4 linked regions of the Saccharomyces cerevisiae S288C genome follow. The gene in region 4 interacts genetically with the main gene of each other region. Each region holds a gene or a part of one and is shown on either strand. Other genes may lie near its edges.

The links.
Region 1: mutations in ISY1 (region 4) and LEA1 together harm fitness more than expected from each alone (negative genetic interaction), as found in Saccharomyces cerevisiae (4 studies listed by BioGRID).
Region 2: mutations in ISY1 (region 4) and URN1 together harm fitness more than expected from each alone (negative genetic interaction), as found in Saccharomyces cerevisiae (4 studies listed by BioGRID, with this or other methods).
Region 3: mutations in ISY1 (region 4) and IST3 together harm fitness more than expected from each alone (negative genetic interaction), as found in Saccharomyces cerevisiae (5 studies listed by BioGRID, with this or other methods).

Annotation. Positions count from the first base shown.
Region 1 is NC_001148.4:148,784-152,619, reverse strand, and holds LEA1 (U2 snRNP complex subunit LEA1), read right to left. Parts: upstream 2,007-3,836; coding exon 1,290-2,006; downstream 1-1,289. Other genes in the region: pseudouridine synthase PUS1, read left to right, coding at 1-1,105; THI6 (bifunctional hydroxyethylthiazole kinase/thiamine-phosphate diphosphorylase), read left to right, coding at 2,429-3,836. UniProt on the Saccharomyces cerevisiae protein: Involved in pre-mRNA splicing. Associates to U2 snRNA in a MSL1 dependent manner and is required for normal accumulation of U2 snRNA. Required for the spliceosome assembly and the efficient addition of U2 snRNP onto the pre-mRNA.
Region 2 is NC_001148.4:831,013-835,607, reverse strand, and holds URN1 (Urn1p), read left to right. Parts: upstream 1-2,149; coding exon 2,150-3,547; downstream 3,548-4,595. Other genes in the region: NCA2 (Nca2p), read left to right, coding at 1-45; PIN3 (Pin3p), read right to left, coding at 396-1,043; MAY24 (May24p), read right to left, coding at 1,363-1,780, 1,915-1,919; SUE1 (Sue1p), read left to right, coding at 3,933-4,553. UniProt on the Saccharomyces cerevisiae protein: Component of the spliceosome involved in mRNA processing.
Region 3 is NC_001141.2:362,581-366,151, reverse strand, and holds IST3 (U2 snRNP complex subunit IST3), read right to left. Parts: upstream 1,264-3,571; coding exon 817-1,263; downstream 1-816. Other genes in the region: actin cytoskeleton-regulatory complex protein PAN1, read left to right, coding at 1-686; DJP1 (Djp1p), read right to left, coding at 1,633-2,931; AIM21 (Aim21p), read right to left, coding at 3,228-3,571. UniProt on the Saccharomyces cerevisiae protein: Required for pre-mRNA splicing and spliceosome assembly. As part of the pre-mRNA retention and splicing (RES) complex, required for nuclear pre-mRNA retention and efficient splicing. Required for MER1-activated splicing.
Region 4 is NC_001142.9:526,430-530,334, reverse strand, and holds ISY1 (Isy1p), read right to left. Parts: upstream 1,639-3,905; coding exon 931-1,638; downstream 1-930. Other genes in the region: OSM1 (fumarate reductase), read right to left, coding at 1-474; UTR1 (NADH/NAD(+) kinase), read left to right, coding at 1,859-3,451; CYC1 (cytochrome c), read right to left, coding at 3,671-3,905. UniProt on the Saccharomyces cerevisiae protein: Involved in pre-mRNA splicing and cell cycle control.

The sequences.
Region 1 (3,836 bases), on a different chromosome or scaffold from region 4:
GGCGTTTGATTGTAGAAAAATGTGCAGTTCACGTTGGTACGAATACTTATTACCAACTTATTCACTCATTGGCCCCAAACCTGGTTCTATACTTTATAGAGACATCGAAGAAAGTAAAACAGAATTACCTGGTGTATTAGATGAAGATTTGGAATCCAAAGAATTTTGGGAAGAGTTTAAAAAAGATGCGAATGAAAAATTTTCAACAGAAGAAATCGAAGCTATATTAGCATATGTTCCGCCCGCAAGAGATGAATTTGATATAAATGAAGAACTATACCAGAAGGTAAAAAAGTACAAGCAATTAGAAAATGCTCACCGTAGAAGATATCGTATATCCGCGGCAAAACTGGCCAAATTCCGTGCTTCTACAAGTCAATACCTTGGCGCTCATAACTTCCATAATTTTACATTAGGCAAGGACTTCAAAGAACCAAGTGCCATTCGATTTATGAAAGATATAAAAGTATCTGATCCATTTGTTATTGGCGATGCCCAAACAGAATGGATTTCCATCAAGATTCACGGCCAGTCTTTCATGCTACATCAAATTCGTAAGATGGTATCAATGGCAACCTTAATTACCCGTTGTGGTTGCCCCGTCGAACGCATTAGTCAGGCTTACGGACAGCAGAAGATTAATATTCCGAAGGCACCTGCATTAGGATTATTGTTAGAAGCTCCAGTATTTGAAGGTTATAATAAAAGACTAGAACAGTTTGGTTACAAGGCGATCGATTTTTCCAAATATCAAGACGAAGTGGATAAGTTCAAAATGAAGCATATCTACGATAAGATCTACAAGGAAGAGGTGGACGAAAATGTTTTTAATGCGTTCTTTAGTTATATTGATAGTTTCAACAAGGTTACTGGAGCACAGGGAGAAGAAACTGCCGATAAATCGGGACCTGCTGTGCAAAAGAGTATCTTCGAATTCTTGACAGCTAAGGGTATCCCAGGTCTTACTGATGCGCCCGAGAGCAATAAGAAGATTAAGCAAAGAAAAAGAATGGAAGAGGAGGAAGCTGCTAGTAAAAAGGCTGAAATATCCAGCACCACTCAGAGCAACGAACCTGAAGTACAACCGGAAGCGGCAGCTAATTAGGTTGCCCTTTCCTTCTTTCTTACCAACTTTAATTTCTAAGGCATTGACATTGAAATTGACATTGTCCTCTAATGTTTATAGAGCACCATTATTTGTTTTCGTTTTATATATTATTATATAATGGCACAGAATAATTTATAATTCTTTTTTTTTAAGTCATTGAACAGTCGCACTAACCAAAAGATTAAACACCACCAGAGAGTAGTTTTTCCAGCCTGGCAATCTCTTCTAAAGAAGTAGCTTCTGCTAACTGCTTTTTCAATTCATTTCTTCTCTCTACTGTCATCTTACTCACCACCAAATTCATGATCTCCATCGTTTTATCTCTGGATCCATTATCTCTTATTGCAGTATTTACTGGGCCCAACGTATCGCCGTCCGCCTGCCTTGGAAAGCTCATTGCGCTCTTTCTTTCCTCAGCTGTTACGTTTTGAAAGTCTAAAGTCTCTAAATGCGGTACTAATCGAAGTACATGTTCTCTATAATTGGCTAAATGACATACTTGATTCCCTATTAAAGTTAGATTCTTCAACGTCCTGGGCGCTCTACGCAACCTTTGAAGATCTTCAAACCTTCTTATGCTGTTATTCGATAATGTAAGGTTCTGTACATTCATAGGCAATAGGCGACCGTCTACTTCAACGATATTGTTTCGGCCCAACAGTAATGTATGTATATCGTCTCTTCTTGATAGATCTGGAATCATGATAAGGTCATTGTTTGTCAAATCCAAGATGTGCGTAGGTTTGGTCAAATGCTTTAAGCTGGATGGCATGGATTCTGAATCCGTTTCTAGCTGCAGGTCTCTTAAAATAACACATTTATCCACGTTATACTTGCCATTAAAATGATCAACATAATATTGCGGAGCATCAATAACTATGCTAGGGGTGAACTTCATTATTGCTTATAAAAACTGATATTTTCCAAGTCCTGTAGTTTCACTTCGACCTGTTGAAGGCTTGTTGGATGCAGAGTATGCGATTGGCCTAATATAAGTAAATGTCATCTATGATAAGAAAAAGACTAATAGGGCTTTTTCCTATAATTAACTAGGGTCTGTCGAAAATCAACTTTGAAAACCAGGAACAAAAAAAAGATAGATAAGGTTTATTTCACTCTTTTAGGGCAACATAATTTATGCATATTATAGGAAAAAGGCAATCGTAAGAACCTATTTAGCAGGTGTAACAAAATCAATACTACATATATTTATAGCGGCAACGCATCCATTTACTTGTGGAAGCGCCTAGTTTTCGATCTAACCATGGTTCTCAAGACCAAATCACTCTGAAGCTAAATTATTTAAATCAAACAGCGGAAATGGTATTTACTAAGGAAGAAGTTGATTACTCATTATATCTGGTTACAGATTCTACCATGCTTCCACCGGGAACTACTTTATGTTCTCAGGTTGAAGCTGGGTTGAAAAATGGTGTAACGCTAGTTCAAATCCGTGAAAAGGATATTGAAACAAAAAATTTCGTTGCAGAGGCTTTAGAAGTTCAAAAAATATGTAAGAAGTACAATGTTCCACTTATTATCAATGACCGTATAGACGTCGCTATGGCAATTGACGCCGATGGGGTTCATGTGGGCCAGGACGATATGCCAATCCCAATGGTAAGAAAACTTTTGGGCCCTTCTAAAATTCTTGGATGGAGTGTTGGTAAACCTTCGGAGGTAGAGACATTGGCTAAATGGGGGCCAGATATGGTAGATTATATTGGTGTTGGTACTCTTTTCCCTACATCAACAAAGAAAAATCCTAAGAAATCACCCATGGGTCCTCAAGGCGCCATTGCCATTTTGGATGCTTTGGAGGAATTTAAAGCTACATGGTGTAGAACCGTTGGTATTGGTGGTCTTCATCCTGACAATATTCAACGTGTGCTTTGTCAATGTGTTGCTTCAAATGGAAAGAGATCGTTGGATGGTATCTCTCTAGTCAGCGATATTATGGCCGCTCCAGATGCATGTGCAGCAACCAAGAGGTTGAGAGGCTTGTTAGATGCTACCAGATACCAATTTGTTGAGTGCGAGTTAAATAATACATTTCCGACCACAACTTCAATTCAAAACGTTATATCTCAAGTATCAAACAATCGTCCATTAGTGCAACATATCACCAATAAGGTTCATCAAAATTTTGGTGCCAATGTCACTCTAGCTTTAGGCTCATCTCCTATCATGTCTGAAATTGAAAGTGAAGTATCTGAACTAGCAAGAATCCCAAATGCTTCTTTACTGTTAAATACCGGATCAGTGGCACCTATTGAAATGCTAAAAGCCGCAATTAATGCTTATAATGAAGTAAATAGACCCATCACCTTTGACCCGGTCGGGTACAGCGCCACTGAAACAAGGCTCTGTCTAAACAACACTTTGCTCACTTACGGCCAATTTGCTTGTATAAAGGGCAATTGCAGTGAAATACTGTCTCTAGCCAAGTTAAATAACCATAAAATGAAGGGCGTCGACTCTAGCAGCGGCAAAACGAACATCGACACACTTGTGCGCGCTACACAAATTGTGGCATTCCAATACAGGACTGTTGCTGTTTGCACGGGTGAGTTTGATTGCGTTGCTGATGGTACTTTTGGAGGCGAATACAAACTTTCATCAGGAACAGAAGGAATAACCGCTGAAGATCTTCCATGTGTAATAATTGAAGATGGCCCAATTCCTATCATGGGTGACATCACTGCAAGTGGATGTTCACTTGGTTCTA
Region 2 (4,595 bases), on a different chromosome or scaffold from region 4:
GTCAACAGGATATACCACGTATATGGCAGGTTTTTAATCCATTAGCGTATAGCCTGCTGGGGAAGAAGAAAGGGAAGATATTGAATATATTCTTAATGTATTTTTTGTACAGACGTAAATATAAAGAAATCAACGCAAAATCGACGCCTTTTTACTTTTTATACTTTTTTACTAAAAAGACAGATTTTCTCGCTCATATCATAAGTGATGTACTATTATCCTCCATATACGATATATCTGTTTAAAAAAAAAGAAAAAAAAAGGTTACTTAAATTCATACTCATTAGAAAAAAATTCTAGGGATAACAACACCAAAGGTAGAACTTCGTTCAATTTATGAAAGGTTTGGCCATAATGGAGAACAAATGAATGAAGTATATAAAGAGAAAAACGACTTAAAAGATATTATTAACAATATCTGACCCAATACTAGCGCCTGCCCCAAAAATGGCGGCATTACCCAATTTGCTACCAAAGCTCTTCAAGTGGCTATGTGAGCTCTGATGTTGTTGTTGTTGTTGTTGTTGTTGGGGAGGAGGAGCTTGTTGCGGCTGTTGTTGAGGCTGCTGATAATAATTTGTGGAAGGTGGAGGAAATGGCTGCTGTTGATAAGATGATGCGGCACTATTTTGCGTGGGGATTTGTTGTAATTCTTGAGCTTTATACTGTGGAGGTGGTGGAAGATTGGATGGACCGTTAGACCCAGAGAAAGCTGGCTTGACATAGTTTGCTGGGAAAATACCGGTACGGCCATTACAGCTACCCTTGTACCACTCTGGAGATAATTTTTCTAAAAGTTGGACCTTGTCACCTGGTTTTAAGCCCAAATCACCATCTTGTTGAGGATCAAATTGATAAAGAGCTTCGACATATTCCAAGGAAGCTGGACTGGCGTTGCGGGGTGCATTGGCAGGATCCCATTTTGCCGGCAAGCTCTTATTTATTTGATCGTAAACGTCATTTGAAATGACATTTGACCCTTTTAGAAAATCCAGTTCTGTCCTAATGTTTGTTAAGGAACGATTAATCAATGAAGCAGACATTTTTGAAATATCAGATTGCCTTCTTTCCTAATGTTCTTGTGTTTGCGCCAATGTGGGCACTTTGCCTATTGTCTCAACCGATTTGAGGTTCGACTATATATGCAGCTTACAATATCCATCCCCGCCTCGAAGGAGGCTCGGTTAATCACGCTGCACGAACGAAAACAATAGTTAAAGAAACGTTTAGAACAATCTAGCGCTTTGAAGAAAGAGTATTAGGCTCTTTACGTGAAGGATGGCACATTCTCATTCAAAAGTTGCTGCTAACTTTTATCATCAAATCAGTAAACCCCTTCTTGTTTTTTCTTGACAGAAGCTTTCACATAACGGAACCAACCATGGAATAACTTAGCACCACATCGAAAAGGATTTGGACTACTGCGCAACAAAGTGGGACCCATGTAGACATAGAAAATAAACCAGATCTATAGATCGCACCTATTAAAAACCCCATAACTGTACCAGTCGTCAAGCCTTGAACGCCTCCGTATAAGACGTACATGACGAATATCCATACACTTCCAGCCTTCTTTCTATGGGTCAAGCTAGCATACACACCAGCAGTAACGTAAAATGCACCATTAAAGATCAAAGTCCAGTACAGCGAAAATTTCCAAATGTCAGATATATAGTATAAGAATGCAGTATTATACTTCGAGTTGTTGATGGGCCAGTATAATGAGGGGAATTTTGGCGTTACATATCCAACAGGTATATCGTTATTTGTTACGAATGATCTGAGCACAGGGAACATGCGACAGAGTAGTGGATGTTTTTATTGTTAGTTTTGTGCCTATTATTTTCTTAAGCCACAGGGAGCGATGCCTGCATCCAGCCGTGGCGGATATAGTCTTGGTAATGAATAACATACCTCATAATACGGCAGGAAGTTGGAACTGATCTTGTTGGCAGTTTTTATCTTATACAGAAGCGTCAAGAGTAGGAAAAGGTTTTATTATTGCATATTTATCAACTTTCAGTATGTTTCTTTTTTTCTTCGGCAATGAAAGAGAAAACAATATAATTGAAGAAAGAGGAAATAGTGTCCGAAAGAGATTCTGATATGTATTATAAAGAGAAAGACAGTTCAGTAACACAGAATCGCCATGCGTGGAGAATGGCAGGAATTTAAGACACCTGCAGGCAAAAAGTATTACTATAATAAGAACACGAAGCAGTCTCGATGGGAAAAACCTAATTTGAAGAAAGGCTCTAACCTAGAAAGCAATGCGAAAGAATCACAGACAGAGAGGAAGCCAACATTTTCATTAGAACTGGTTAATGGTTGGCACTTAATAATATACAACGATGGTACAAAACTTTACTTTAATGATGACTCTAAGGAGTTCAAAAATGACATCAGTCAAGAGGACGACAGCAGGTGTCGCTCATTAATCGAGTCGTTAGATAAGGAAAAACTGGTTCTTCTGATTGGCGTTGCCAGAGGTTACACTATGCGGGAGGAGGACATTGATAAAATCCTCGAATCTTGCAACGAAGAGATTCATCTATTTAAAAGAAATCAAGACGAAGTTGAGAGAAAAGATGAGATCAGCGAAGAGGCGGGTGACGTAAAATCCCCTTTACAGGAAAGCCACACTGGGCTAGTCAGCGGGTATGGTTCATCTTCGGGGGAGGAAGACGAAGAGGAAGACGAAGAGGAAGACGAAGAGAATGAAGAACAAATTGTAAATCAAGATATCAGCATTATCGATGATCTGAATCGTATTGATACAGATGACATTGACGAGCGTAATATCTTCTTCGAATTATTCGATAGGTATAAACTAGACAAGTTTTCCACGTGGTCGCTGCAAAGCAAGAAAATCGAAAACGATCCTGATTTTTACAAGATCAGAGATGACACAGTTCGTGAAAGTCTTTTCGAAGAATGGTGCGGCGAGCGCAGTGGCAATGCCACCGCTGAAGAAAGCGATAGCGAAGATAATAGCGAAGACGATAGCGAAGTACTAGAACCAACAAAATACCATTATCTGGCACAAATTGTTGCTAATGCGGGAACAATCGCACCCGACACCATCCCACAAGATATAAGGAAACAACAAAAAGCGTTATACAAGGCCTACAAAATCAAGGAGTATATACCGTCGAAGCGCGACCAAGACAAATTCGTTTCCCAACTGCTGTTTTATTATAAGACGTTCGACTTGGAACAGCGGAAAGAGATTTTCTGCGATTGCCTACGGGATCACGAACGAGACTTTACGGGGGCAGTCGAATCGCTGCGTCAGGACAAAGAGCTTATCGACCGATGGCAAACACTTCTGAAAGCACCCGCGGACAGTAGTAGTATAGAGGATATATTGCTGAGCATTGAGCACAGGTGTTGTGTCAGCCCAATAGTGGTGACGGAACCACGCTACTACGTCGTGGGCATTCTGGAGAAGACCGTGGTCTGGGTGCGGTGGCTAGCCGCCGAGGTCGGGCCATCAAGCCGGTTTACCCCAGTGGGCGCGGGGAACGAGCCGATAAATCCGGAATAGGAAGGGCAGACCAGGGGAGCAAAGAGTGATTAAGCTTACGCACCTGGTATGGACGTGATGGAAGTGGGGTGGTGATAGCAACCAGAATACGGTAGGGTCTTTACGCTTAGTGTACCTATCGGTATTCAGGCTCTTTGCCAGTGATTGGGGCTGCGGGATCCGCCATCATATCTAGTCACTTTTGTATAAGAATGAATGATAAGAGCAGGTGCAATTTTCGGACTTTAGATGTTTCTTGTGTTTCATTATTTATAGCACATTTATTTTTTCCCTCTGAGTGTGTGTCTGCATGTATACATTTTAGTTGAATTATAGAGAGTAACGAAACACACACGCATACACGTATATACAAAGACATATATACGTACGGAAATAGTGAATAAGGATGATTTTATTAAAGAGGACAAAAATTAGGGGCGTCAGCGTCTCTTTTGTAAGCTTGCAAAGAAGGACTCACAGCAGACTGGTGAACCCCATAAGGCAGCAACATCAACAAATTACCAAGCAAAGGAGTTCAAAGATTTTAAAGAATGCGCATTTCTATGACTTTAGATCGCTGCCCAAAGTACCTACTACACAGTATTTGGAAGCTAGGGAGCTCACCCGCGATATTCTGTATAGCGGATACAGGCCAGTAATGTACCCAGTGAAGGAAAACCCGCTATTCAGAGATAAGAAGAGAAAGTCCTTGCAAACGTTATTAACAATGAACGAGAAAACAAACGCAGAGGCGAAGACGATCGATGAGAAAAAGCACAAGAACATATTGTTTGGTGAACGTGGCACTGGTGGTATAATGTCAGGTGGCGTGAACGGTACATGGAAGTACAATCCCACCGTACCCAATGAGCTGTTGCCATTCAATTGGTGGTCTACGTCCAGTATGGGTATGGAATATTTTCCTGAATGGAAAAACGTGCCCCCATATATGATGAGAAAGTTGAAGCCGTTTGACAAGGCACTGCAAATGCGGTTGACACACAAAAGCAAAAAAAAGATGAAATAAATAATAAATATTTGGCATATACATATGGAAAATGATTTTATA
Region 3 (3,571 bases), on a different chromosome or scaffold from region 4:
CTACATCTACTTTCGATGCTCGCGCTGCAGAAATGCAAAGAAGAATCCAAAGAGGATTGGATGAGGACGAGGATGATGGATGGTCTGATGAAGACGAGAGTAATAACCGCGTAGCTGTAGATAATAAGGTTGAAGAAGCAAAGATTGGTCATCCTGATCATGCACGTGCTCCACCTGTTACTGCTGCTCCCTTGCCGTCTGTTACCCCTGTTCCACCTGCTGTCCCTGTCCCTCAGGCGAATACCTCTAATGAAAAGAGTAGTCCTATTCCAATAGCTCCGATACCACCTTCTGTTACTCAGGAGCCACCCGTCCCGTTGGCTCCCCCTTTGCCTGCTGTTGATGGCTTTCAAGAACCTCCAATTCCCTCAGCACCTGCAATAGCTACTGCCGTGCAAAAATCGGGTTCTTCCACCCCAGCTTTAGCTGGAGGCGTTTTGCCTCCACCCCCACCTTTACCAACTCAACAAGCTTCCACTTCAGAACCTATTATCGCTCACGTTGATAACTACAATGGTGCTGAAAAAGGCACGGGCGCATATGGATCCGATTCTGATGATGACGTTTTATCGATTCCTGAATCAGTTGGTACAGATGAAGAGGAAGAAGGGGCACAACCAGTTTCTACTGCAGGTATCCCATCAATTCCACCTGCAGGTATTCCTCCACCCCCACCCCTTCCATGAAGATTTAATTTGCTTTCTATAGATACGTATGTATACTAATTTCTGAAAGGATGTAGAATTACAAATATGATATTGATTATTTTTTTCTAGGCTATATGAATATAAGATATGCGATGAAAGAAAAAATTATTTAATTTGGTTGGTCCTTTTTAGCCAAAATGAGTTTCTCAGCATTGTTCTTCGAAACTATATCTCGATCCAATTCTTCCTTTACAGCTTCATAGTATTTTTGTAAACTCCTTTTTGGCCTATAAAAAGTATGATCAATTTTGAGGGCTCTACCGCCAATTTTAAATCCATTTAAATTATCGACTGCTAGAATCGTTGACCGTTGATCCTCATATTTCAAATATGCAAAACCTTGCGATTCTCCTGTGTTTTCATCCCTGCTAAGAATTACATCTACAGGGACTCCATATTCAGAAAAGACTGTCAATATGTCACCTTCTGTTAATTCTCGGTTGAGATTTCCGATATATATATAAGCATTATCCTTATATTCATTATGCCATGATTGATGCGGGCTAAGAATTCCACTTTGTAGTTCTTTATCGTTGATTTGCTGAATTTTGTTCATTGTTATTTTGTTTATATTATCTATGTTCTTGATCTAGAATTGCACGCTGCACTTTTTGAGTTGTATGAGTAATTAATGTTCGGCCTATTTTTTTTTATCTGTATTAATCTCAAAAAATTCCTAAACCCAGAAAGGTAAAAGAGCTTATCATTTAAGTGTGGCATAATTCTCCAGCCATAACCACTTCCTTATCACATAAATTATCATTGTCACTGAGTTCAATCACTTCTTTATTGTTCTATTGTCTTTCTTTCAAGAATAGAATTATCAGTATTAGTGTGATCTTATATACATTATATTATATTGAATACAGATAATAAAAAAAAGTGAATTTTTGAATTTTTAATATACAAGAGATGATTGCTAACTTCATGTATGTCTCTTCTTTTTTGTAGCTTCTGCTACAAGTTCTTCAAAGATCTGTGCCTCTTCTTGTTCGACTTTGGTTCTGAAAGTTTTCTTAAAGACTTCACCCAATAGTTTCATTGCTTCAGCTCTTCTGATAAGCGTTTTCTTACTTACCGAGTCATCTTCTAGTACTTTTTTACAAACGCCACGTAAAGTGGATGTTATTTCATATTTAGAACCATGCCAAGCAGCCGACAATACTTTGCCCATCAATAGCTGCTCTTGCTGCGCCAGTTCCTCAGTGGTTGGCTTAATTTGCTCATTTCCGTCTTTGTCAAACAAAGGCTCATTATTCGTGCTAGCTTCTTTCATTTTTTCAAGCTCCTTCATAGTATTCTGAGCGTCTATGGCTGCCGAAACAGTTCTTAGTGTATCCATAAATACTCCCCCTTTAGCCTTCATAGAATGAAATATACCACCCATTCCGAACAGGTTCTGGGATGCAAGAAAAATTTCAGCTTTTTCGTAGTAAACGTCGCCTATTGTGTGTAATATGTCCAGACCAAATGATTCCATCTTTAAAAGATTGGCTTCCTCTTCGAACTTTTTTTTAAAGGAATCTTTACATGCATCATCATAGACACTTTCTGTTAATATCGATAATCTTTCAATCAATGTTTTGCTTAATTGGTCTACTCTTTTTTGCTTTTCTACCTCTTGTTCTTCCTCAAACTGCTCTAATTTTGTCTTCTTCTTCTTAGCTTCTGCTCCTACCTGCTCATTTTTCTTGTTTCCATCGTGTACAGTTAAATTACCAGAAGTTGTCCTCGCCTTATTTTTGTCATCTTTTTCGTTAGTATTGCCCAATGCTGCATCAACAGCGTTAGTGGTGCCATTCGTCTTACCGTCTGCAGGTGATTCTTCCATTGTTTCCACATTCTCCTTCTCCTTTTCAGCTTCGTCTTCAGCATTTAGCTCCTCAGTTTTCTGTAGGTTCTTTAATAGCATCAGTTCGCCAATATATGAGGCAAACGCATCTCCACCAAAGATGACAGAGAACTGTTCAGCTGCATCTTCAAAGCCGCCCTGAGGAATAGCTTCTTTTCTTCCATACTTATCATACTTTGCGCGAAGATCATCGTCACCTAAAACTTGATAAGCTTCGGATATTGCTTGAAACCTTTCGGTAGCCGTGGGGTCATTGGGATTCTTATCAGGATGCTCTTGAATAGATTTCTTTCTATAGGCCTTTTTTATTTCAATGGAAGATGCAGTGGTAGACACACCTAACAAATCGTAATACTCAGTATCAACAACCATATCTTTTGTATAATGCCCCTTCTGGCCGCAAGAAACACTTAATGATTTAGCATAACTCTGTTATTCCTCTTGTAAATCTGCCAATTTGTTCAGTACGCTCTGCTTCAAAATAGCACAAAATTCAGGGTGTGCGGGTAAAAAAAAAAAAAGTCGAAGAAATATATATATATATATATAGAATAAAATCTAGTTTTTATGCCATTATTATTAATAACACCTCTAGTTTGCTCGTCATTCACATATTTCTCTCTTGATACATACTATAGAGTTTATTCATACATATTATTTATAAGATTCTAAAGGGAGTGAAAAGACGCTTCTTCTGAATGTAAGGCAGAATCAACGTCTTCGTAGCCACCTGAGAGTTCTCTTTCCATATCAACCTCCATTTGGTCCTCCATCTGCTGTTCCTGTATTTCTGTCGTATCGTTTTGATCTCTGTTGGCGATGGCCTCCGATGGGGACAGAGATTCCTCACTTATGGCTTTTCTATTACCTACGGCGTTCGTCTGTGGCAACTGAGAAAGAGGATCCGACTCAGCATTAGCAGGTAACTTTTCCTTTTCGTCCAGCTCAAAAGGACAAAGAGCAGCCTCCATCTTATTTGGAGATTGTTCTCGTTGTTCCTCGGGAATGCTCT
Region 4 (3,905 bases):
AGAAGATCTATGGGTCCTTGGAACAGAGTGACCGCCCAATTGCGCAAGGAGGTCTAATTTCAAATCGAATTCTGTTTGCAACCACCTGATAGCACTCTTGGATTCCTTAGTCAACTTATCCATCAGTGATGGAACCCCTCTGCCTTTAGCCGAATGCAAAGTATCTTTCAAAAACAATTCGGGAGTGTCCATTACCTTTAAATTTTGTTGAGTGTCTGTGTGAGCACCATTAATACCACTAGAAGCCTTTATAGAATTCCCACCAATAGAAGCCGCCTTATCCAAAAGCACAACAGGAATTCTGTATTTACTAATGAGACGATTACTTGTGGTTAAGCCTGCCAAACCAGAGCCAATGACCACCACTGGTTGTTTCATTGACGTTTGATCTGTGCCACTTAATGTTCTTTTCAAAACTATTATCAATACGAATATTGAGACGTAAATGAAAACCCTTCTCACAGATCTAATCATTTTCCTAAGACTCGGGATGATATAGAATTATTAAGGTATTTCCTATCATAAAATCTTTCCCTTTTCGGCGGTTTTGTTTTAAATCTGGATTTCTAAGCAAAGGATTTTCGCTAGTTTTTTTTTTTCAAGTAGCTCGTAAAAAGAAAACGAGAGCTACTCCTGCATGATTCATATAAGATTTGACGAGTGTATAAGATACATTTGTATTGGTGTACATTATGAAATCTATGTAATCTACCTAAGCGTAAAAAGGAGATCTTGCCTTCGATAACTAGTACGGTGGAAGAATTACATTTAATAACGAACGGGACAATATGATATCATAGAAGAAAAAAAAATGAGTCCCGATCACTATTTTACTTCATATCTGCAGCTCGGACATGTTTGAAGATTATAATGCTTGTGATGGTCATTCGAAATAGTGCCTCTTCTAAATGTTTGAATAATTTTCCATAGCTAAAGGTTAAGTTCATCCATTAGTTTCTTTTTTCTTCTTTGCACTAACCAATGCTCCATATCTGCCAGAGTTGGTACATGGATTTCTTGTGTCTGCCTTGACATTTCTTCTTCATCTTCATTCACAGGCACATTATAATGTGCTTTCAAAATGGATGTCCAGTTAGCCTCAAATTCGGTTAAGGCGGCTGTGACTTTGCCATGGTAATAAAAATCATTTCTATCCTTCGGTATGCATTTGGTGTTTATAGAACCCCCATCATTCTGCCTTTGAGACTGCTTGAGCCATTCTTTTACTTCAGGCAATTCCAGGGCTCTTCCAAAATATCTCTTACCATTTATCAGCTTTCCTGAATTCATCAGCACATGACTGTCTTCTAACCTTTTCCTCTTGGTTTTTTTTTCCATAAGTGTATGGTCAATGTGCCACTGCCATCTCTTCCATTCTTTGAAAAGATTATTAAGTTCGTCGTTAAGTTCCGCAATCTGCATTTCATTTAAAGACGGATCATATATTCTTGTGCTTTTTTGTTTTATCTCTTTACTTACTTGTCGCTTCCATTCGTTGGCCTCTTTTATGGATTTTACCTTAGACACGTTCCTGGGCCTCTGGTAACGTGAATAATCCTTGTATCCACCTGCCGACTCTGCTTGCTGCTCTTGAAATCGTACCAGAACTGAGTTGGCCTTATCTACATTTCTACTCATTTTGAATGCACAGGTATCTGATTACTGATGTGGTGCGCCTTGCGATATAACGGTGTGTCACTTTTATTTGCTCTTTCATGCATCCTGAAATTATTTCACCGCACTACGCAAAGAGAACGGAGAAAAAGGTATAATAGGGCAAATGATCATTGACATCGTGATCGTAAGCCAAAAAAAAATACAATAGGCTCCCTAAATAAGTAGAGTAAAAGCTCTTGAGATGAAGGAGAATGACATGAATAATGGCGTAGATAAATGGGTAAATGAGGAAGATGGTCGAAATGATCATCATAACAACAATAATAACTTGATGAAGAAGGCCATGATGAACAATGAGCAAATTGATAGAACTCAGGATATCGACAACGCCAAAGAAATGTTGAGGAAAATATCAAGTGAAAGCAGCTCGCGCAGAAGCTCCCTGTTGAATAAAGATTCATCTCTCGTGAACGGCAATGCAAACAGTGGCGGTGGTACGAGCATTAACGGAACAAGAGGAAGTTCTAAGAGTAGTAATACACACTTTCAGTATGCCTCCACGGCGTATGGTGTAAGAATGTTGAGTAAAGATATATCTAATACCAAAGTGGAACTGGATGTGGAAAATTTGATGATTGTTACGAAACTCAACGATGTCTCACTGTATTTCTTAACAAGAGAGTTGGTAGAATGGGTTTTGGTACATTTTCCACGTGTGACTGTTTATGTGGATTCCGAATTGAAAAACAGCAAAAAATTTGCCGCTGGCGAGTTATGTGAAGATAGTAAATGTAGAGAATCAAGGATCAAGTATTGGACAAAGGATTTCATCAGGGAACATGATGTTTTCTTCGATTTGGTAGTGACTTTGGGTGGCGACGGTACTGTTCTTTTTGTAAGTTCCATTTTTCAGAGACATGTACCACCCGTTATGTCGTTTTCATTAGGGTCTCTAGGATTTTTAACAAATTTTAAGTTTGAACATTTCAGGGAGGATTTACCTCGGATTATGAATCATAAAATCAAGACAAATTTACGGTTGAGGTTGGAGTGCACAATTTATCGTAGACACCGCCCTGAAGTAGACCCAAACACGGGGAAGAAAATATGTGTGGTGGAAAAACTAAGCACACACCACATTTTGAACGAAGTGACCATCGATCGTGGTCCAAGTCCTTTTCTATCCATGTTAGAATTGTATGGTGACGGCTCATTAATGACCGTTGCGCAGGCGGACGGACTGATTGCTGCTACTCCGACTGGGTCCACGGCCTATTCTTTGAGTGCAGGTGGGTCATTGGTATGCCCAACCGTCAATGCAATCGCTTTAACACCCATTTGTCCACATGCATTGAGTTTCAGACCCATCATCTTACCAGAAAGTATAAATTTAAAAGTGAAAGTCTCGATGAAGTCAAGGGCTCCAGCATGGGCGGCTTTTGATGGGAAAGATAGAATTGAATTGCAAAAAGGTGATTTTATAACCATATGCGCCAGCCCATATGCTTTTCCAACCGTGGAAGCCTCGCCCGATGAGTTTATTAACAGTATCAGTCGACAACTAAACTGGAATGTGAGGGAACAACAAAAGTCCTTTACGCATATTTTGTCCCAAAAGAACCAAGAAAAATATGCACATGAGGCGAACAAAGTCAGAAATCAAGCAGAACCTTTAGAGGTAATAAGAGATAAATACTCTCTGGAAGCAGACGCTACTAAGGAAAACAACAACGGAAGCGATGATGAGAGCGACGATGAGAGTGTAAACTGCGAAGCTTGCAAATTAAAGCCTTCGAGCGTCCCAAAACCTTCTCAAGCAAGGTTTTCAGTATAATGTTACATGCGTACACGCGTTTGTACAGAAAAAAAAGAAAAATTTGAAATATAAATAACGTTCTTAATACTAACATAACTATTAAAAAAAATAAATAGGGACCTAGACTTCAGGTTGTCTAACTCCTTCCTTTTCGGTTAGAGCGGATGTGGGAGGAGGGCGTGAATGTAAGCGTGACATAACTAATTACATGATATCGACAAAGGAAAAGGGGCCTGTTTACTCACAGGCTTTTTTCAAGTAGGTAATTAAGTCGTTTCTGTCTTTTTCCTTCTTCAACCCACCAAAGGCCATCTTGGTACCAGGAATATATTTCTTTGGGTTAGTCAAGTACTCTGACATGTTATTTTCGTCCCACAACACGTTTTTCTTGATATTGGCATCTGTGTACGAATACCCTTCAGCTTGACCAGAGTGTCTGCCAAAGATACCATGCAAGTTTGGACCAACCTTA